3 linked regions of the Elephas maximus indicus genome follow. The protein of the gene in region 1 interacts with the protein of each later gene in a biochemical or structural test. Links are inferred from orthologs where the notes say so. Each region holds a gene or a part of one and is shown on either strand. Other genes may lie near its edges.

Region 1 (7,390 bases):
AGGGCTCCTAGCATGTCATATATATAATCGTTTTACTTGTTTTTTTGGGTCTTTGTTGTAAGCGGGATCACCAGAAGCGTCTGACTACTCTGCTATCTTGGCTTCGCCTCCCTTTTTTTTTTTTTTTTTAACAATATTGTATGGTGTTTTCCGTGAAGGTTTGGACAGCAGTTTAGGTTCCCATTCAACAATTTCTACACAAGTTGTTCAGCAACATTGGTTACATTTTTCACAATGCATGAACATTCTCATTATGTCTGTTCTGGTTGTCCTGTTTCCACTAATCTAGTTTCCCTGCCCTCCTACATTCTTATCTTTGTTTTAAAGTAATTGCTTACCATTTGGTCTCAAATAGGTGATTTTTAAAAAATCACAGTACTTAAGGGTGATATTATCTTTTGAGCCAATTTGTTATCTAGCTACAAGGTGACCTCAGGGGTTAGTTTTGGTTCAAGGTTTGAAGAGTATATCAGGGCAACAGTCTTAGGGAGTCCTCTGGTGTCAACCAGTCCAGTAGGTCTGGCTTTTTTTTTAGGAATTTGAGGTTCTATTTCACATTTTTTCTCCCATGCTATCAGGGTCCATTTATCATGGCCCTGAGCTCCAACTGTTCATAAGAGCACCTTTAGCCATGAACTTCTCCAAGAGCTTTTGCAAATGAAGTCTGTTTCTTTGGGAAGATATTAGGAGGTATCTGTTCCATGGCCTGTTTCTTCCTCCTGGCAAAATCTCTGAGCCAAGCTCTGGAGCTGTGTGGGTAGGAACAAGGCAAGCTTCTCTCTGAGTGGCACCCCTGATCTAGGAGCTGAGCACTTGGGGAGGGGGGGCAGTAGCTTGGGGTCTTCTTGGTTTGTCTCTCCTGGTGTGGAACCATAGCTTCGCAAGCCAAGGCACGAGGAGAGTTGGCACCCCAGTGTTCTCAGTTCACCATATCCAAGGTAGAGCCTCCATCCATGAGTAGGGCTGGGGAGAAGAAGAGAGCCCCCACCTTTTGTCTGCCCCAGCCCACAGGTAACAGGTAACTTGGTGCAAGATGATAAACATGCAAGTCCTGCTCTTCCTGGGAAGAAAGTCCCCTGGCTGGAAGCTGAGGGGAGAGCGAGCCCTGTGTTCTTGATTGCAGCAGTGTGGATTGGAGCTTCCACCTCCCTGAGCTGAAGGGCTGAGGGAGGGAGAGGTCTTGATTTAAATATCACAGACTTTCTTTTTTTTTTTTTTTACCAATTTTCATGGATTTTCTTGAGTAGATGTTTCCTCATTTCCTGTTTCCCCTTAGGACCATTTCAAGAAGTTTTCAATGGTGGTAACTGTTGTTTTTATAATTTTCACCAGTTTCAGTAGGAGCAGGTAAGTAGAACTCCTCATGCTGTCACGCCATTAGGGACCCTGTGTAAGGCTGATTCTGCATTATAACAGTAGGGTTGAAGAACTGAGTAGTGGCAATAAGACTCTCCATGGCCTGCAAAGCCAATAATATTTACTGTCTGACCCTTTACAGAAAAAGATTGCCAACCCCTAACTTAGGTCACTGCTGCTGATACTGCTGGTCCACGGACCACACTTTTGAGTAGCAAGAATTTAAATTACTTGAGAAGGAGTACTGAATGGGTTAAGAGCTTGGTTCAAAACCTCACTTTGCCATCTACTAGATATAAAGTTTTTGAGAAAGGGAATGATAATAATGGTATCTACCTCACTGGGCTGTTGTAAGGATTAAATGTAGGACTGTCTGGCACTTATTAAGTATTCAACAAATGACAGCTATCATCAAGGTATAAGACAGCATGTCTTTTCTTAAAGTCTTTTCCAGAAAAATTTAAGCTTCAGAAACAGGAAACAAGTATAAACTTTCAATATACAAGACGCTGCTTTTAATACCCGGGGTGCATAACAATATTACCTAATAAAGTTAAAAACTCACCCCCAAAAAACAAACAAACATTGCCATCAAGTCTATTCAGACTCATAGCAACTCTATAGGGCAGAGTAGAACCGCCCCATAGAGTTTCCAAGGAACACTTGGTGATTTCGAACTGCCGATCTTTTCCTTATCAGACGTAGCTCTTAACCACTACGCCACCACCCAGCCAGAACTTAAGCCTGACACTGAAAACGAGAATTCTCTACCATGGACGCCCGCAACCCCTTCCAGTAACAATGAATGAAAATCTTCAGGAAGTGCTTCCAAACCCAAAAGCCCTATGAAGAAAAGTAGCAATTATCTTCAACATGAGGATTTGGGCCTAGACGACCCCTTCCATTTCCACCCGTCTCTTATCTATACCCAGATGATGATATAAGGAGAATCCCTCAAGCTTCCACTTCGACTGACCCCACGGCGGGGGCGCCCAGGTCAGTGCCGGATCCGGGACAGGGCCGGGTAAACAGGGATTCGGTCGGGCTGCCCCTCGCCGCGGCCCGTCGAGGTTGCCGGCGGTTACCTCGCAATTGAACTCCATCTCGGCGTCCATGGTGACAATCCGCACGGTGAACGTCTTGGGCTGCTTCCTCTTGAGAGAGCTGAAGCTCATGCGGGAAGCGATGGCCCCGGCCATGGTGCGGGGTTCGGGCCCGGGACCTCTGTGCCCCCGCGGCCTGCGCTCTGGACCGGTTAACCCCCCTGGAGGAGCCGCACAGGCCTCAAGGCCACCATGGTGGCCGGCCGGCCGGTCCGGGAGCGGGTTGGGCGGCGCGGGGCCCCTACGGCCCGCATGGGCCGCAAGGACCCTGCCCAGAAGCGAAAAGGGGCGTCGGGGGCGGGCCCTGCTGGCCACGGGGAGGGTACGCGAGCCGGGACCGACGGGGCGGACGCGGCCCGGCACTGGAGGGAGTCGGGCTGGGGACGCCGGGGAAGAGGGCGGCTAAGACGACAGCGGCCCACGGGGGTCGCGGAGACGCGCTACAGCTGGGCGCGCACACGCGCGCGTGCCTCTCACCCTTCCCGCTCCGCGCGCCCCCGGCAAGCGTCCCCTCCCTGCTGCGCCCGACCGACTCCCGCCCCGCCTCCAGGCCCCTCAGACGACTACACACGGCGCAACGCAACCCGGCGGCTGCCTCCCAGAAGCCGGGGTTGGCTGACAACTCCAAGGGAGGCGGGGATTTTCTGTTCCGTCCCGCCTGCTTCTGATTAGCTCCACCAATTGAAAGTTCCGCTCTAGCTGTAGGCGGGAGCTTGGGCTTGGCGTTGAATAGCTGTAGCAGCAGTCACTCCGAATGCTTTTGTTCGTGAGTGTACGCCTACTCTAGCAAGACTGGTTGAGGCGGCGCAGCCTGGCGCGCCTCTCCCGGGAATCCACGTCCGGGCGTGTTCCTGAGCGCACGAGTTGGGTTCCTTCCTAGTCCAGCTAGGAACTGCATTTTTGACAGAGCACGCCCTGCGTATGGCGCCTCAGAAGGTGTATTTTAGACGCCAGGCGGATGTTCCTTTTTGGCTCTCAATTAACTACATTCAATGACCTCTGTGTTTCACGACTTTTAAAACACTTGTGGAGGCCTGTTTGGTTGCTGACATTGTCCCGCCGGATTCCTCAGCCTCGCATTAGAAGTGATACTAATTACTGTCAAAGAGAGATTATAATTGCACCTACCTCATGGGGTTGTTCAGGAGTTTAAGCGAGTTAATACACATAAAGCTTTAAAACGGTGGCCGGCACATACTAGGTTGGATCCAATGAAATTGTTGCTTTGGTAGATCAAAAAAGCTCGAAAATTTTCATTTTTCATTTTGTACTTTATGATTTTCATTTTTTAACCATATATGCTTCCTATTTATGTTTTAATATCATCAAGGATTATGCTGGGGGGAGGGAATTGAAACGAATCTACTCTCAACCCAGAAAACTTCTCCACAAAAACGACAGAAAGAAAAGTTTGATTATTGAATAAGCATTAAACCAGAATGTGATGCATCACAGGGAATCCACTACAGAGATTGCAAGAACAGAAAGAAACCTTATCCTTTATATAAAACAAAACAAAAATCCGTTGCTGTCCAGTCGATTCCGACTGTAGCGAGCCTACAGGACAGAGTAGAACTTCCCCATAGGATTTCCAAGGAGTGGCTGGTGGATTCCAACTGCGAAACTTTTGATTAGCAGCCGACTTCTTGACCACTGTGGCCACCAAAGCTCCTATCTTTTACATAGCTGAGGGGATAGAACTCAGTACAACCAAGTTTAAGACAAAATTGCTAACTTTCCAGTATCTATGTCAGGAGACCTAAAGTTATGCTCATCTTCCAGGAAAGTGGGTGGTAGGGATGGGAAATTTTGTGTGTGTGTGTGTGTGTGAATGTACACAACAAAACACCAATTTAACAGTTTCTACATGTGCAATTTAGTGACATTAATTACTTTTTAGTTGTGCAACCATTCTCACCCTCCTTTTCTGAGTTGTCCCTCTCTCATTAACATAAACCCACTGCCCCCTAAGGCTCCTGTCTAATTTTTCAAGTTGCTGTTGTCAACTTGATCCCATATAGATACCTCTTAAAAGAGCATAATGCTCAAGGCAGACGTTTTATACTAGTTAAGATAAACTATTGTTTTAAGATGTCTTCGGGGGATGTTTTTGGTTTAAGGTCTAAGGTTTCTTGATGATTACGTTTCAAATCAAATGGCTCTGAGACCACTGAGGAAACATCCTTGACTTATATACTTTTCAGAAAGTCAAAGGAAGATTCTGCCATTAAAAGAACTGAAACCTGTTATTTTCAATTTGTATTTTTCCTTACATTTATAATGGATGTGTGTGTGGGGTTGAATTATACCTGTGTTTAAAAATATAGGGTTGCTATTTGTTGGGATCGACTTGAAGGCAACAGGTTTGGTTTGGTTTTTTTTTTTTTTTATTTTTTGAAAAGGGCCCTCATCTATGATACATCTTTTCGTCCTGTCTAACCCAGAGGAAAGGAGAAGGAAGAAAACCAAGGACACAGGAAAATATTATCCTTAAGGACTAAAGGACCGTGTAAACCAGAGACTCAACCAACCTAAGACCTGAAGAACTAGATGGTGCCCAGCTACCCCCAACGTCCACCCTGACAGGGATCACAACAAGGAGTACCAAACAAAGCAGGAGAAAAATGTAAAACAGTATTCAAATTCACATAAAAAGACCAAACTTACTGGTCTGACGGAGACTGGAGGAACCCCTGAAACTATGGCCCCCGGAAGCTCTGTTAACCCAGAGCTGAAACCATTCCTGAAGCCCACTTTTCAGACAAAGATTACACATACACAAGAATAACACACATGAGGAACTGGGTTTCTTAATTCAATTAAGTATAGGAGACCAAATGGGCAGCTCCTGTTCAAAAGCAGGACGAGAAGGCAGGAAGGGACAGGAACTGGATGAATGGACACAGGGAACCTGGGGAGGAAAGGAAGCACATGCTGTCACATTGTGGGGATTGCAACCAATGTCACAAAAAAAAAAATGTATAAATTTTTGAATGAGAAATTAACTTGAGCTGTAAATTTTCACCTAAAGCACAACAAAATAAATAAATAAAGGGGGCCCTGGTGGTGCTGTGGTTAAGAGCTCAGCTGCCAACCAAAAAGTCAGCAGTTTAAATCCACCAGCCACTCCTTGGAAACCCTATGGGGCAGTTCTACTCAGTCCTATAGGGCTGCTATGAGTAAGAATCGACTCCACAGCACTGGGTTTGGTTTGGCTTTGGTATTTAAAAAAATAATAATTTTTTTTGTTGCTGTTGTTGTAAATATACCAAACCAAAACCAAACCCAGTGCCACTGAGTCGTTTCAGACTCATAGCGACCTTATCAGTAGAACTGACCCCGATAGAGTTTCCAAGGAGCGCCTGGTGGATTCAAACTGCCAACCCTTTGGTTAGCAGCCATAGCTCTTAACCACTACGCCACCAGGGTTTCCTACATATAACAATAAATTTTAAGATAATTTCTAATCGTCAAAATTGATTTTATTTTTAAATTATTTTAATTGTTGAATTGTTGTTGTTGTAGTTATGTGCCGGAGAGTTGATTCCAACTCACAGTGGCCCCATGTGACAGGGTAGATCTGCCCCATAGGAGTTTTTTTCTTTCTTTTTTTAATGTATTTTAGATGAGGGTTTACAGAGCAAATTGGTTTCTCATTAAACAATTAATACACATATTATTTTGGGCGAGTGTGCCTATTTAGTCTCGTTTTGTTTTATGGACCTGTCTAATCTTTGGCTGGAGGATGAATCTCAGAAGTGCCATCACTACTGAGGTAAAAAGGAGTCCAGGGGCCATACTGTCTGAGTTCTCCAGTCTCTGTCAGACTAGTAAGTCTGATTTGTTTGTTTGTTTGTAAATTTAGAATTCTGTTCTACATTTTTCTCCAGCTCTGTCCAGGACCCTCTATTTTGATCCTTGTCAGAGCAGTCAGTGGTGGTGGCCAGGCACCATCTAGTTGTGCTGGACTCAGTTGCCCCATAGGGTTTTCATAGCCAGGTCTTTCTCCTGTGGAGTCGCTGTGTAGGTTTGAACCATCGACCTTTGGGTTAGCAGCCAAGCACCCAACTGTTGTGCCACAAAACAAAACAAAAAAAACCTGTTGCTATAGAGTCAATTCTGACTCATAGTGACCCTATGGAGCAGAGTACAACTGCCACATAGGATTTCGAGGAGCAGCTGGTGGATTTGAACTGCCAACCTTTTCGTTAGCAGCTGAGCTCTTAACCACAGTGCCACCAAAACCAAACCAAGCCCATTGCCATCAAGTCGATTCTGACCAGGGCTCTTTAATTGTCCAGTAGAGAAGATTTAATCACACATAAGTGTTAACCATCATCAGCATTACCCCCACTCTGCAGATGAAGAAGATGAGACTTTTAGCATGATAAAGTCACTTGCTCACCCAGATGCTGTTGTTACATGCCATAGAGTCAGTTCTGACTCATAGCAACCGTACGTACAACAGAATGAAACATTGCCTGGTCCTGCACCATCTTCACAATCATTACTATGTTTGAGCCCATCGTTGTGGGCATGTGTCAGTGCATTTCATTGAGGGTGTTCATCTTTTTTACTGACCCTGTTTCAAGCATGATATCCTTCTCCAGGGACTGGTTCCTCCTGATAACATGTCCAAAGTACGTGAGACAAAGTTTTACCATCCTCGCTTCTAAAGAGCGTTCTAGTTGTAGTTCTTCCAAGACAGATTTGTTCATTCTTCTGGCAGTTCATGGTATATTCAATATTCTTCTCCAACACCATAATTCAAAGGCATCAATTCTTCAGTCTTCCTTATTCATTGTCCAGGTTTCCCAAGCATATGAGACAACTGAAAATACCCTGACTTGGGTCAGGCGCACCTTAGTACCACCTCAAGGTGACATCTTTGCTTTTTAACACCTGAAAGAGATCTTTTGGAGCAGATTTGC
Region 2 (7,888 bases), on another chromosome or scaffold:
ACAGAGAGAGAGGCTTTCCCTGGAGCTGATGCCCTGAATTGGGACTTCTAGCCTCCTAAGCTGTGAGAGAACAAATCTATTTGTTAAAACTATCCACTTGTATTTCTGTTATAGCAGCACCAGGTAACTAGACAGAATTTGGCCCTGGGAGTGGGGTGCTGCTCTAACAGATGGCTGAAGTGTGGAAGCAGTTTTGAAACTGTGAATGGGTAGAGGCTGGAAGAGTTTTAAAGTGCCTAATAGCAAAAGCCTAGGTTGACTGTTGGTGAAATTATGGATGTCAGACAACTAGGGTGAGAGCTCAGAAGGAAGAGAGGAAAGCTGTAACACTGGAGATGGCACAGATGGTGAGAAGCAGTAGCAGAGAAACAGCCACAGCAGAACTAGGAAACCGGTGTGAGACGGCGTGTGAGCTGACCCAAGAAGCAAGAAAGCTGAGAGCTTTTGGGTAAGAGATTTCCTGGCAGAGTACGGCACCTCTGGGCACTTGTTGGAGGAGGTAGGCTTTCTGACACACGGAGCGGGTGAGCTGAGTGCCTTTGGGCTTAGGCTTACTGGTGGAGTAGGGTGTCTTGAGGCACTTATTGGTGGAACTAAAGAGCTCTGTAGCACTTGCCCAAGCAGGGCAGAAGACAGGCTGGCCCAAGAGGCCCAAAGTGCTGAGAGGACAAGGAACCAGGAGAAAGAAGCTGAAGAGACAAGGAGGACAGGAAGCAGAGCTGCTTCAGTCTCAAAGGGTGGGGCCACAGCCTCCTAGGTTTCAGAGAGTCAGATCTTCACCAGTTCAGTTCCGGAGAGTGAGGCTGCTGCTCCTCTGTGCTGGGGGATGGGGTGGATCCACTGTCCAAAGCTGAGGGGATGGGGCTGCCATGCCCAAGGGACAGAAGAATGGGGACCGCTGGGTCTGAGGGGGCAGGGTCGCCACTCGGATGGACTAGGAGAATGGGGCCGCCAAAATCCAAGAGAGCAGAGTTGCCGTCCCAGTGGGGCTGAAAAGCAGAGTTGAAGCCCAGGGCTCAGGAGCCTCCACCCAGAATCCAGAAAGTGTGGCCAACACCCAGAGTTTGGAGGGCAGGGTCATTGCCTAAATTGTCCCAGGGAATGGATTATTTTCAAGTCTTGAGAGCTAATGTAATGTGTTCTGATGAGTTTTGGACTTGATTGTTCCCTGTTATCCCTTCCTTCCAATTTATCCCATTTGTAATGGAAATGTCTACCTTGTGCCTGTTCCACTGAGCTTTAGAAGCAGGTAACTTGTATTCTAAATTTCACAGATGAAGGGGAATTTTGCAGAAGATTTTTGGGATAATATGGGGTGAATGTCTTTCACATGTGGCAAGGACATGAATTTTAGGGGGCCAAAGGGTGGAACGTTATGGATTGAATTGTGTTCCCCAAAAATTCACATCAATTTGGCTGGGCCCTGATTCCTGGTATTATGTGGTTGTCTCCAACTTTATGGTCGGATGTAATTATGCTTTGTATTATAAATCCTAAGCTCTATGATGTTAATGAAGCAGGATTAGAGACAATTACGTTAATGAGGCAGGACAAAGTCTATAGTATTAGGTTGTACCTTGAGTCAGTCTCTTTTGAGATATAAGAAGCCAGCAGAGAGGAGAAAGACCTCCTACCACCAAGAAAGAAGACCTGGGAGCAGAGTTCAACCTTTGGACCCATGCTGACAAACTCCTAGATCTAGGGGAAGATTGATGACCAAGAGCTTCACCCAGGGCTGACAGAAAGAGAAAGTCTTTCCGTGGAGCTGGCACCCTCAATTTGACTTCTAGCTTCCTAGACTGTGAGAGAATAAATCTGTTTTTTCAAGCTATCCACCTGTGGTATTTCTGTTATAGCAGCACTAGATAACTAAGACAGTGGGGAATGCAATCACAGGCTGAACATCCAGGCCCTGGCTAGTTATGGGACCTGAGCATGGCAGCAGGCTCACTGTGTCTCCTTTTCTCCATTTAGAAATGCATGGTTAGACCAGGAACTTGCTCAGGACTCCCAGAGAGATAATGAGTTGTGTTGGGCCTTCAGGCTGGACAGGATTTTGTCAGGTGGAGAAACCACTCAACTAAGGAGTTATGTTTATCTTTCATATCCCCAAAGAGGGATCTTTGATTGAGAGTCAGGATTCATTCTGGTTCTACTGTTAAATTTGTTTTGCAATGTTTAGGCAAGCCACTCACCCTCTCTGGGCCTCATTTTTCTCAACTGCAAAATGAAAGAATTGAATGAGATGGCCTCTGAGGTCAGTCCAATCAAAAGTCCTCGGCTTCTGATTTTTCCTTTTCTCTGCCTCACATATAAACCTGGGAATACATATTTATTGACGTCTTGAACAGAAAGATAAAGAGCAAACAAACAAACGAAACAGTGCCTTCTGTTTAATGAGTGCTGTAATTTCTGGTATTTATTCTTGCAAGAAATATTTTCTTAGATCCTGGTATGTTCTAGGTATGATGGGGGGAAATGGGACAGAGGCTATACTGACACACAGAGTAGAATATAAAACACAGGAGACGTTGGGGGAGTGAGCAGCCATCTCAGATTGGAGGAGAAAATAAAGGAAGAAAATAGCTACTGAATGAAGCCTTTAAGGACAGGTGGAATTTTTTTAAAGACATTACAAAGGATACATAAAAAATTTCTTGCATTAAAAGGACAAACAATACAGAAGTACATGTAGTAAAATACACAAGTCCCCTTCACTTTTTCCCATCTGTAAAAATGGCACGGCCATGGCACCTCCTCTAACTTCACAAGGTCAAAGGAGTATCATGATCAACAGCCCAAGGCTGATTTCCTACGAGGCAGGGTCAGGCATGCTTCCTCTCTCTGCCGTCTTTACCTCTGACAGCATTCTCTACTTCTCTGCTGGATGCAATAATTCATTGTAATGGCCATACAGAACGCACAGACGATACTCACGATTATGAGGTTTATTAGGGAAGCAACAGGTTACAATTCAGGTCCAGGAACGCTCAGGATATAGTTCTTCCATCAAGACAGCCTCTTCTCAGCCATGCTCCCAGGCATGCCTCTCTCTGGTTCCCTCACCTCTTTCCTGCTTGGGCAAGTGTTAAAAAGATCTTTTAGCTCTGCTGTTAAGTGCCCTGAGGCACCCCACTCCTCCAAGAGGCCTCCATGGGTAGGTGCTTAGCTCTAGCTCTGTGGATCAGCAAACCTAGCTCTACCAAGTGTCTGGAGGCACCCTACTCTTCCAACAAGCCTCCTGCCTGAAGGTGCTCAGCTTTCTCCATCCGTGGGCTGGAAAGTCCACTGCACCGTCTCCTGCTGCCTTTTCTCTGCCACCACTTCTTACCATCTTCAGCGTTATAGCTCTTTATCTTTCTTGGTCACCTGGTTCTACAAGTTTCTCAGTGCAGAGGTCCTGGGTCCAAAGGACGCGCTCCGCTCCTGGTTCTTCTTCCTTGGTGGTGGTGAGAGCCTCTCTTCCCACCTGTGGGATGGCTCATTTTAAGCCTAGCGGGATGGCAAAGCCGATCAATCCCCTTGGTCAGCCACAATTACCTTATTTGCACAGTCCCAACCAATCACTTGGGTGGGAGTTATAGGACCATGGTGAGGAAGGCCACGCTAAAGCGGTCTTTGCACTGCACTATCCCTAGGGATAATCACCGTTAAACATTTTGGCACATGTCCTTCTTAATCCCTTTCCTATACACTTATATACAAAAGTCTACATTACACGTTTAGGATTTTTTATAAAACATATATATGAAATCATGAGGAATTATCCACCTTGCTTTGTTTACTTACACTAGGTTTTGGACATCCCTCCAGTCAGTAGTACCTTGTCTATTTTAAACAGCACATGTTTCTATAGGGTGGCGTTTCAGAAGCAGAACAGTGGGGTCATGGGGTACCTGCGACTTAAATTTTGATAGGCAAATTTTGATAAAATCCAACCCAACCCATGGTTCTTGAGTCGATTTTGATTCATAACGAACTTACAGGACAGAGTAAAACTGCCTCATAGGGTTTCCAAGCCTGTAAATCTTTACCGAAGCAGACTGCCACATCGTTCTGCCGGGGAGCAGCTGGTGGGTTCCAACTGCCGACTTTTGCTTAGCAGCGGCACTCTTAACCACTGGGCCGCCAAGACTCCTTCAAATTTTGATACTACTGAATGACCTTTGGTCGAATGCCAGCATCCCCAAATACTGGGGGTCGTTTGTGCTTTGTAGTCAAAGGAACTCTGAGACCATGACTCACGAGACCTAGTTCAGCACCCTGAGCCTCAGTTTCTCCATCTGTAAAAGGGGATGTTCTACCAGGTCTCTGAGCTCCTTCGGTGACTGGAATTTACATGAAGTTCTGGGGTTGACCATTGACCCATCACCACGTAATTACTGAACCGTACACAAGGAAACCCTGGTGGCGTAGTGGTTAAGGGCTGTGGCTGCTAACCAAAAGGTCAGCAGTTCGAATCCACCAGCCGCTCCTTGGAAACCCTATGGAGCAGTTCTACTCTGCCCTATAGGGTCGTTATGAGCGGGAATCGATCGACAGCGATGGGTTTAGTTTTGGTTTTACCGTACATAAGGTGCTGAGAACTGCGAAAGTATCAAGCTGTCACAGCCTTGCCTTGCCGGACGGTCCTTCACTTCACTTCCGCCTTCCCCAGACGCCAATGAGTCCACAGCAGTTCCTGCCTACAGTAAAAACTACAAATCCCAGAAAGCAATGTCACTGTGCGTCAATCAGGATGGGTGGGCCGCGCCCCTAAAAGCAGAACTACATTTCCCAGGCGGCCTCGGGACCCGCCGATTTTCCTCTGCTTGCGTTGCGTTAGCGTTCTCCCGCCCCTTATCCGCGAGCCTGGCGCCAACTCGGCGCGCGCGCGGGGTACGTAGCCAGCGAGTGACGTATAATATGTGGGCCGCTCAGGAGCCGTGGTCGCGCTGTGTGTGTCTGTGTGTGTGTGTGTGTGTGTGTGTGTGTGTGTGTGTGAGTGAGGGAGAGTGTGAGTGCGGGACTTGAGGCGGTGCGTGTGTGAACTGTGGCCGCTGGCGGGGTCAGGCGGGAGCGGCGGAGCCGCCCGGGAAGGTAAGTGAGGAAGGGAGGGATACGGCTCTCCCAGAGAGGGGCGGAGAGACAGGACGCGCGGGCGGGAGAGTGGGCGCCGGGCTGGGGGAGGGGCGGCACCTGCCTGGGCCGCGGGCGGGGAGGGGGCGGGCCGGCGGAGAGGCTGGGCCCAGGGCTTGACAGTCCCTTTTTCTCCTCTTGATTCTTGACCCGGGGGCGGGGCCTCCATAGTCTTCCTCTAGTCCCCAAAAGAAGCTTCCCGAGAGTACTTTTCCGCCCGGAATAGGGGGCAGGGGCATGCCCGCCCCTACCTGGAGAAGGGGCGCCGCTCATTCCCTTCATCACCTTTTTTCTCAGTCTTCCCAGCCTTCGTTCCGTACGGGCCGGGGGTCTCCATCTCCCCTGCCGTACGGCGGCCCCCTTCCCGGACGGTGTCTCCGCCTCCAGTCCCAGTCACCTGGGCGGTCTCTCCCTCCCTCGGCCTCGTGCCACCTCCCCTTCCGCCCGCCCTGCTCTCGGACGGGGCGGGGGGCGGGGCTTTCCGGGCATTCCTCTCACTCCAGCGGTGGAGGGGAGGGGCCTGGAGAGGTGTGCGGGTCCCTCAGCGTGGGGCCGACTTTCCGGCAGCCTGTTTCCGGGTTTACAGTTTTCGACAGGGTGTCAGAGGTGTTCGCTTAGCTCTTTTCTTTCTAAACGCTCTCCGTCTCGCTTCCTCTTACTGCGGTAGTAGCGCTCTGGGTTCCCATTTGTTGAGAAAGTAGGTTTGGAGTGTTTGTAGTACTTTTTGAGCCCCAAATGGCTCGTCTTTGTCTGCTTTGTGTTGGTCTCAGTCTTTCGTACTTTATCTTTTCATTGAAACATTTTAATTAGCCTACATGTTTTAATTATTAATTCATGTAGCAGCATCTTCCTGTTCTAAACGCTTCTTTAATGTACAGGTTGAAGGGTTCATTGGTAGTAAAAACCACTGCCGTCACCCTGTCATTTGCAGGCGTTTACCTTTAAGGTTTGTGAAGCGTGTATATTTAGACTCTTTAATTAGAAATTGATTTGATATTTTTCTACTTGATGTTGTCAAGATTTGGCTTTGTACGTAGCAGTATTCATTACCCACTTTCGAGTGGCGATAAATTTTTGGATGTTGAGATAATAAGGAGTCCTGGTTGCACAGTAATTAAGCTCTGTGCTGCAAATTGAAGGTCGGAAGTTCGAACCCACCAGCCACCAGGGGCTCCTCAAGAGCAGAGAGTCAGCTCCCGTGAAGATTACAGCCTAGGAAACCCTATGGGCCAGTTCTGCTGTGTTCTATAGGGTCTCTGTGAGTCTGACTCGACGGCACACGACAAGAAAAGAGATAATAGACACAGAATTGGTGGGAGTTTAACGGAGTCATCTTACGCTCAACATCTCTTGGGTAGTTGCTGAATAGTGTTTTACTGTTCTACCTGTTGTATAGCTGTTTAAATAGGGGAGGAATCTGGTAGAATGAACCACTCGTTAATTTGAAGTGGTTGGAGTTGGTTTATTGCCAATTTTCTTGTGTTGTTTTTGTAAAGGAGATGGTCATGGACGGTACTAAATAGGTTATATGTTCTCGTATTTTAATAGTAATTATTCCGTAAATTTTTACTTGAAGCTCTAAACTTGGATTCCCCCCCTCCCCCACAGATGGTTGTTTCAGTATTGTAACGTTTTAAGGGACCTGTCTTTAACATGAGGAGCCTAGTGGACAGTGGTTAAAGCGCTTGGTTGCCAACCAAAAGGTTGGAGGTTGCAACCCACCACCACTTCATCAGCTGCTCTGTGGGAGAAAATGTGGCAGTCTGTGTCCATAATGATTTATAGCCTTGGAAAACCCCGTGGGCAGTTCTACTCTGTCCTATATGGTTGCTGTGACTCCATGACAGTGGATTTAGTTTTTTTGGTTTTGTCTTTAATATGGACTTTATTTTTGGCTTTGGGATAGTTTCTGCAGAATAGGCATTTGCTATTGTGTATTAGAACTAAGAACAGATTTTATGGTTATATTAAAAAGTTACTGAAGGTTATAGTGGGAAAAAGGTAGAGCTGGAGTAAAAAGTGAAAAAATCTCTCTCCTACCTTTATCACCCAGAAAGTTACCTGCCAGAAGAGTAATAGATACAATTAGTTTCCTTATTCTTCCAGGGGCCTTTTATCCTAGAAGGAAGAGAGACAGGTAGGTAGATGTAGATATACACTTGTACACACACCCACCTTTCTCATTCACAATGATAGCATCCATGGGTAGCGCATGTGATTAAGCACTCAGGTACAGTGTTAGCTGAAAGGTTGGCCGTTCAAATCCAACCAGAGGCACCTCAGAAGGCAGGCCTGGTAATGCGCTTCCAAAGGTCACAGCCTTGAAAACCTTACGGAGCAGTTCTACTCTGCGTACATGGGGTTGCCGTGAGTCCGAATTGACTCGATGGCAACTAACAACAAATATGTTTATAGAGTTCTGCCCCTTGCTTTCCTCTCTTGACATGTGTTTGAGAGTTGATCCAATTCAGGAAAGAAAATGCTGCTTAGTTTTTTCCAACTTTTTACTGAGAAAAATTTCAAACATACAGGAAAGTTAAAGAATAGTAAAATGAATACATTTCTACCCATCCAGATTTTTATTTATGTACTGTATTTTTTTTTTTTAAATGTGTTTTCAGTGAAGGTTTACACAGCAATTTAGGTTCCCATTCAACAGTTTTTGCACAAGTTGTTCAGTAACATTGCTTATGTTCTTGACAATGTGTGAACATTCTCTTTTCCTTCTGGTTGTTCCCTTTCTGTTTATTTAGTTTTCCTGCCCCCTTAC
Region 3 (8,016 bases), on another chromosome or scaffold:
TAACGCTAACCTCAGCAGTGATGGAAATGTGCCTCCTTGCTTCTTCACCTGGGAAAATACATTCAAAGTTCTAATGTCCAGCAAGACAAGGAGTCTTTAAGGGTCAATGGGAGCAAAAGATTCATACTAGCCTCACTGCCCAGGACTCTCAGCTGCACCCCTCTTTCTCAACACCAAGGGGCGCAATTTCCAGCAATGGCCTCATGCTCACAGAGGGAAGGAGACATGCGCAGGGAGGGCCTATGTCTAACTCCAGGACAGCTCAACCCCTGCCCTCTTCCCAGGGCAACTTTCCTCCCCCCGAATAGGACACCTGGTTCAAGACACCTGCTCTCCAACTGTCAGAGTTTCTGCGTCCAATGTTGCTTAACAACAGTTGGCCACTTCTCCACATTTTACTTTCCAATAAGGAGATTGGACCCTTTATTCCCCCTTAAAGCCAGCCTTGCCCTTTCCAACATTTCCTCATTGTCTTCTATAGCTCACTATTCCCCATGATGGGGCAACAACAGCACCTTTCCTTCCTCCCTCCTCTTTCTCTTTTCCCCTCTACCTGCCTAGCCCCAAGCCCTGGCTTAAAGCATGTCTCCTTGCCAAGTCTCAGTTCCTTCCAAACAACTTCACAAGCACGTGACAGTCAGGGCAGAGGCAGTTATTGCTACTAGCACGTCATTGTGCTTCCAAATGACGCTGCCCAAAGAGACCACGGAAACCCAGGACAGGAGGAGCCTGCTGATCCCTGGGAGAACCTCTAGGGTCAGGCTGGTTCCAAATATTTGGAAGTAGGCCCTTTAGAAATATCATAGAGACAGGGTGAAAGAGTCAGAATCTTCAGAGACAAAGCCCAAGACTTCACTGGTAGTTAACCTGTAAACAAGCTTCCCTGGAGGCCATGGGGAGACCACCAGGGTGGTCGTCTTTGCAGCCAGGCCCAGGACCCTCCCCGCAGTCTCCCCTCTTCTTTCCCATCTTGAACATTCCTCCCTCTCAAGGGCTGAGTGGTGCTCTAGTTCCCTTCTGAAACCTGCTGTAAGGCTTCTAGTCCAATACAACCTCTCCTTCCCCCAAATCCTTTCCAAGTTGTCCTTCTCACACAACCTAACATATTCCAGCTAAGCACAGCCTTTGGAACTCAATGGACCTGAGTTCAAATCCAGACCACTACTTGTGGCTGTGTGAATGCCCACGAGTCACTTAACCTTTCTGAGCCTCGGTTTCCTCCAAGCATTAAAAACTTCTCATCGGGTCATTGTGAGGCCTGCTGTTACCTCTGCTACCATTACATATTTCTGTTTCAGGAAACTGAATCCTGACTCCCCACCTATCTTCAGTCTAAAGTACCCAGGCGAGACTATGTCTTTTACCTTCTTGGTACTCCTAGAACTGGGTTTAATAAATGCTTGCTGAGTAGAATTAGCCATAGGCTGAGCTGTCTCAATGACCCAGCTGGCACTTCTTAAAAGAAAAATTAATTTTGCTAGCGATAAGCAAATCAGCCATATAATTATCTGTACATACACAGACAAAGAAAGGGAACGCTTGCTTCGAGTTCAGCTGGGCTGGGCTACCTCACATGCGCAGCACCTCCCCTCCACACCCCTGAAAGGCACAGCCCCTGTTTGGACGGGACATTGGCAGCCCCAGCTCCAGGGTCACAGATGTCATCCTGAGGTCCAGGCTCCCCTCTGGCCCACTGAGGCTCATATCCCTGGCCTGGGAATGCGAGCCATATTTCTGTTTGGATTTCCCCAAACTGTCTGCCAGTAACAGGAGGCTGCAAGGATTGAATAGCTCCAGGCTTTCAGTCTATGTCTCTCCTACTCACACTCCCTGCCCCAGGCTGGCACCACTATCCAGAACCTCTTTGCGAAGCTAGTTCAAGTTCCCACAAGCACTAGACATGCACTGACTGGAGCTGACTGTAAGAGCTTTGGAGCCCAGGCACAGTCATGAGTGATAGAGACCCAGGACCCTTTTCTGGAAAGCTCATTGCCAGCAGCTCTCACAGGCGTGACTGGGACCACCTTGCCAACAGCCCCTGCTTCTGACCCAGCCCCTAAACTGTCTTTGCCTCAGTCTCTGCCCCCAACTTGCCTCTAACCCAGTCCCTGCCCCTGCCTCAGCCCCTGCCCCACCCAGCCCTTGTCCTGCCTTTGCCTCAATCTCTGCCCCGGCCTACTCCAGCCCCTGCCCTGCCCCAGCCCCTGCCCCAGCCCCTGCCCCAGACCCTGCCTCAGCCCCTGCCTCAGCCCCTACCCCAGCCCCTAGCCCTGCCCCTACCCCTACCCCTGCCCCAGCCCTTGCCCCAGCCCCATCCCTGCCCCTGCCCCTGCCCCAGCCCCTGCCCCTGCCGCTACCCCAGTCCCTGCTCTGCCCCAGCCAGGTCTGGGCTTCCAGCGCCCTTGGGCACAGAAGCCTGTTAGTCCAGACACCGGCTGCGCGTCCAAGACTACAGTTACTTTCTGCCATGTGCTCCGCGCTCTAGAGACCTCACCCAAAACTGCGCGCCGGCAGCCTGCCCGGCCAACTTTCTTCTTTCTTTCCCTTTTCCCTCCAACAAAACTATGCTTCCCACCAACAAATTCGCCAACCAATAGTTTAGCGCAAATTTCAGCCCAGTTTATCTTAACCAAACCCAAGTCGCTCGCCGCCCACTTGACTCAGGTTCCCAGGGCCAACTCTGCCAGTGGGGCTGCTGTGCGTCCCGGGCACTCCTGGCACCCCTTCCCGCAGTCCCACTCAACGGGCACTCACCGATGTGCTGCGCTAGGCTTAGCTGCACGAGGCAGAGTCCCCAGGCTGCGCGCCACCAAAGCTTGTCCATGGTATCCGGGCAAAGGGGAGAGCGAGTGAGCAGAGCTGGAGGGTCCCGGGGCGAAGGGCGGGGGCCGGCGCAGGACAGGGCAAGGAGGGCGGCCGGAACCTGTCAGAGGCTGGGGTCTGGCTGGGCAATGAGGCCGCCTCGCAAATTGGCTGCAGTTTTTATTCGAGGGTTGAAAGAATGACCTAAGAGGGAGGGAGCGAGAGAAGGACACACCCAAGGGGGCTGTGACTAAGCAGCCGGCAAAGGTTTAAAGTCATACCAGCCCTCCTCTGAGCTACCCCCTTGCCCCCGCGGCGTTCTTTACAGAGACTGTCAACCAGGGCTCCTTCGGCCCTGGGGGTCCAGGCCCTCCCAGCGCCCGCCAGCCCGCTTGCCCCCGGGTCACCCTTTCTTCTCCCAGCCAGCTGGATTGGCTGCCTAAGCAAGTAGGATGACTGAGTCCTGAAACCTAGACCGTTAGGTCCAGCCTCCGGCCTCTCTTGCTGTCCACAAAGCTTCATTTGAATTCAGCTGGGGAATGGCTCTTTCTGGGTTTCACAGGCAGCTGGATATCCTGGGAGAGGAGGGAGGGCAGAGGTGAGGTCCTGCACTGGATGGTGCTTCCCTGCCGAGGGCACTGGGTACTGGGTTTCCCTGCCCGGGAAGAGAGATGGGAGGGGCTTGCGATTCTCTCTGGGGGAGGAGGGAGAGCACGTCCCTCTTCCCCTCAAGGAGAAACAAAGTCCACAGCGCTCAGGTGGATTTTTGGTTCTTGCCAGAACTGCCGGAAACCAGCTGCCCAGGGAAAGCTAGAGATGGCCATTCATGGGCTATTTGCCTCCACTAACCCATGTGTTTTATTTAAACCCATGTGTTCACCGTCCAATCCATCCATCCACCCATCCATCCACTCACCCGCACACTCATTCATCCTCCCAAACATCCCTCCATCCACCCATTCATCTATCCACCTACCTTTCATTACAACCTGCCAGCACTTATCCATCCCTCCATCTTACTGTCCACCCACTCACACATCCCTCCATGCTCTCACCCATCCATTTATCCACCCCCACATCCATTCATCATTTCCACATTCTTTCAACTATTCACACATTTATTCAGCCATCTTTCTTCCAATCATTTATCCAGTCACACAACTTTTCATCTATCCATCTATCCAATCACATATTCTTCCACCCACCCTACCAGACATCTTCTCATCCATCCTTTTATCTATTCTTTTTCATGTCTCTGCATAAACTCGCTCTGATCCATCCACCACCCTCTTCTTCATCCATATATCCACATATCTCTTCCTCCATTGTCCTTCTATCATTCACATATCCATTTTTATTTATCTTCCCATCCACCCATCCACTCATCCCTTCTTTTTTGCTCCCATTCATACAAACATTATGCTTTTCTTGCTCCCATTCTATGCAAACATTAATCTACTTTCCCCCATCTAACCTACCCAGTAAATATCAAAGAGAGGAGGGGATTGTCATATTCTTCAGGAGAGACATTTTGAGTCTGAAAACTTATATTTCACATCATAGTTCATTTATATAACAGTTGCCATGGAGTCAATTCCGATTCATGGCAACCCCATGTGTGTCAGAGTAAAACTGTGCTCCATAAGGTTTTCAGAAGTAGATCACCAGGCCTGTCTTCCAAGGTGCCTCTGGGTGAACTAGAACTTCTAAACTTTCAGTTAGCAGCCAAGAGTATTAACTGTTTATAATATACCACGATATAACATTTGGAAATCAAAAGCAGTATTTGTTTTGAATGTGAACTGCTGAAAGTAAAGTTGAATGGGTGCCTTGCCTGGTGAGATACACAAAATATGATAGTGGCATTCAGTGGCTGGGGCATGATGCTGAAGGAGCCATGCCAGAATTTCTGACAGAAGATCAGATTTTGTTATTTATTCAAATAACTTGAGAAGTTGAGAGAAAATGCACCCAGCCATTAACTCATCCATTCACTCATCAAGCATGTACTGAGTACCCAAGGATATCAAGATAAATAAGACCTGGCCCTGTCAGGGATCTCATGCTCATGTAGGGAATCAGACTCACAAGTAAGCTATTACCACATAATATGATATGGGCTGCAAAATACCTGTGTGCAGACTGGTATCAATCCCTGAGAAGGGAGCCCCAATCTCTCCTGGGGAACACCAGAGAGGCTTCATGGTGGAAGTGATATTTGAACCAGGTATAGAAGAGGTAAGAATTCTTCATAGGAACCTACAGGGGCAAGACATTCACAGACAATATTCTGTAGTGATTAACAGTAAGGATTCAGAACCCAGAATGCCTTGGTTCAAACCCTAGCCTGGATGCTTTTGAGTTGTGTGACCTTGGACAAGTCAATTAGCCTTTCTGTGCTTCAATTTCCTTCTGTAAAAAATAGAGTTAATAAAAAAAAAAAAACACGCAAAACCAAATCTTCTGCCGTGGAGTCAATTCCGACTCACAGCAACCCTACAGGACAGAGTAGAACTGCCTCATAGAGTTTCTGAGGAGCACCTGGTGGATTCAAACTGCTGACCTGTTGTTTAGCAGCCATAGCTCTTAATCCCTACTCCATCTGGGGATTAATAATAGTATCTATGAAATAAGATTGTTAGGAAGATTATGAATGAGTCAAAAGTGCTGTATATAATAATCATTCAACAATATAAGGGTTTAAGTCCCTGGGTGGCAAAAGAAATTAATGCTTAACTGCTAACCAAAGTGCTGGAGGTTTGAGTTCACCCAGAGATGCCTTGGAAGAAAGATCTGGCAATCTACTTCTGAAAAATTCGTCATTGAAAATCCTGTGGACCACACTTCTACTCTGACACACAAGGAGTCGCCATGAGTCAGAATCAAATCCATGGCAACTGTTTTATATATATATGTGTGTGTGTGTGCTTGCTATAATTATTAACAGTAAAATTATGTATGAGCATGGAAAGGTGAAAGAACATGGCTTGTTTAGGGAGTGGAGAGCAGTTTTGAATGACTAGAGCATTAGATCAGATGAAGAATTTGGGAGGGAGACAGCAAGACAGGAGGCTAAAGAGGTAGGAGAGGCCAGGTTGTAAGCTATGCCAGAGAGTTTGAACTTGACCATGTAGGAAAGAGGGAGCCAATGCAAGTTTTGAAGGTAGGGAGAGCCTGTATGACTACAGACTGATCTAGTTGCATTTTCAGAGAGAGTTTGGGCTCAGAATCATTGTCTGCTGGGACAACTCCCTATCTACTTGGTAGCTGGCATTCCATGACTCAAGGTGTCACCTATCTGAAATGAAGACAGTGCCTCTGAGCCCCTACCTGAAGAGCAAGCGCTTTGAAAAGTGTTTGCCAATAGCAGAAAAGAGTTGGTCCCATTGCTTGAGACAAACTGGCTCCCAGGTAGAGCTTAAAGCTCTACCCACCTGAGAAACCAGCCCTGGTGGGTTCCAGGGGCAAGTGCAATGGACCACAATTAAAAAAAAAAAAACCTTTGCGAAAGTGCTTTGCAAATTCTAAAGAGGCATGTAAATTTTAGGGATTATAATTAGGATTATTCTCCCAGGGGGGAATATTTAGCTGGCCTGCTTCCCGATAATTTAGTGAGGGACTGAAGCTTTTGCCCCAATGCCACAAATGACTCATTTCAAATAACTGACCTGGTGACTTACTGAGTCAGTGCCAGCCTTTGGGAATTCCTGGATCACCTCTCTGAGCTCCTCTCTCATCCTCTTTCCACTCCAAGTACCTCCACCCCCACCACTGGTCACACAGACTCTCCCCTGCTCTTCTTTAAGCCTCTCAAAAGATTAAAACCCTTAAAGTTATTCATCATATGCTAGATACCTGTTGTGTCGTTGCATCAGATACCTTTCTAAGCCAAATTATGGGATGTGGGAAACTGGAAAAGAGAACTTGACATGATATGGGTTGACATGAGATCACACCGTTTGGAAAGAATCCAGAATGCAGTCAGCAGGCCTTGGACTGAGAAAGTCCCACTTTGAGCTTGGACACCCTCTTCCCCGCTCCCCCCCCCGCCCCGCCCCTTCTCAGCCGGGTGACTTTACTCAGGTCACTGAACCTGTGGGAGTTTCATTTATTCCATCCCCACTATAAGGTTAATAAGGCCTTTCTCCCAGTTTGTTATGAATAGTAAGTGAAAGAAGGCATCAAGACATTTTACTAGGGTGGCTGCCTCATGGTAGGGACTCAGTGACTCAACAATGTGTAAGCTCCAAGAGGACAGGGTCATGTGTGTCTTAGGCAGCAGTCCATTCTCAGCTCTCAGTGCCTGGCATATCCCAGTGCCTGGCATATGTTGGGCACTCAATACATATGCATTATATAAATGCATGAAAGGTCATTGTTCTTTTTCCTCCTGCCACGCTATGCAAGGTTTTTTCAGGAATTACATGAGCTAATAAATGGACTACTTAACAAATGGAAGCACTTAGAGAACGTGGTGATTTCCAGATACAAGCAGCAATATCGTATATCTGGGGTAACTAGTTTGGGAAGACTGCTGAGGAACCAGACTATGGTTCACTCTGGTAAACTTTTTTTTTTTTTTTTCTTTTGCACTGTAGTATTGGGGCCTGAGGACTTCTGACTGGTAATAAGTCTTGCTCCTCTTAAGCAAACCAAAATCAAACCTAAACCAAACGTAAGCTGGAGCGTGTGGATCAAGGCTGGGAGACGTGTGGCTGAATCATGAAATGTGAGGATTATAAATACAGCAGACCATGGACTCTTCTAAAGGGACAATATCCAATTCCTTCAGGGTGCTGCTTCCCAGAAAAGGGGCAATCCAGCAGAGTAAAGAAAAAGTGCCAATCCAGTTAAACTTTAACTCTTAAAAAAAATCATCCTCGGTTCCCACTCGTATGTGAAAGGTTCACATGTAAATGAGCAGTTGTGGAAAAGCTCTCATGAAATAATTATTAGTGAAGTCTAAATAAACTGGTAATTTGGGAAGCAATCTTCAAGGTAAATGATTTTGAATGACTAATCAGTTTCAAGTTAACCAAATGTGATTACAGAGCCAAGCCTTTGGGATTACTAAGGCTCTCAAACTACGTCAAATAAACTAGGTGGTGGGACTGTTGCACTTTGGAAATGCCAAGGGGACAAGGTGTCTCTAGATTCTAGACATTTCCATGTCAGTCACAAAGTGGGTTTTACACACCTTTAGAAGTTAAAATG

Evidence for each region. The genes of interacting proteins can lie anywhere in the genome.
Region 2: the proteins of NF2 (region 1) and DCAF1 form a complex in vitro, tested with the Homo sapiens proteins (3 studies listed by BioGRID, with this or other methods). The link is inferred for Elephas maximus indicus from reciprocal best matches to the Homo sapiens genes NF2 and DCAF1.
Region 3: the proteins of NF2 (region 1) and CD44 form a complex in vitro, tested with the Homo sapiens proteins (2 studies listed by BioGRID, with this or other methods). The link is inferred for Elephas maximus indicus from reciprocal best matches to the Homo sapiens genes NF2 and CD44.

Annotation. Positions count from the first base shown.
Region 1 is NC_064840.1:26,936,883-26,944,272, forward strand, and holds the start of NF2 (merlin), read right to left. Parts: upstream 3,009-7,390; 5' UTR 2,556-3,008; coding exon 2,442-2,555; intron 1-2,441. UniProt on the Homo sapiens protein: Probable regulator of the Hippo/SWH (Sav/Wts/Hpo) signaling pathway, a signaling pathway that plays a pivotal role in tumor suppression by restricting proliferation and promoting apoptosis.
Region 2 is NC_064838.1:55,676,640-55,684,527, reverse strand, and holds the start of DCAF1 (DDB1- and CUL4-associated factor 1), read left to right. Parts: upstream 1-4,887; 5' UTR 4,888-5,079; intron 5,080-5,508; exon of another isoform or gene 5,509-5,815; intron 5,816-7,888. UniProt on the Homo sapiens protein: Acts both as a substrate recognition component of E3 ubiquitin-protein ligase complexes and as an atypical serine/threonine-protein kinase, playing key roles in various processes such as cell cycle, telomerase regulation and histone modification.
Region 3 is NC_064825.1:90,449,533-90,457,548, reverse strand, and holds the start of CD44 (CD44 antigen), read right to left. Parts: upstream 3,002-8,016; 5' UTR 2,825-3,001; coding exon 2,755-2,824; intron 1-2,754. UniProt on the Homo sapiens protein: Cell-surface receptor that plays a role in cell-cell interactions, cell adhesion and migration, helping them to sense and respond to changes in the tissue microenvironment.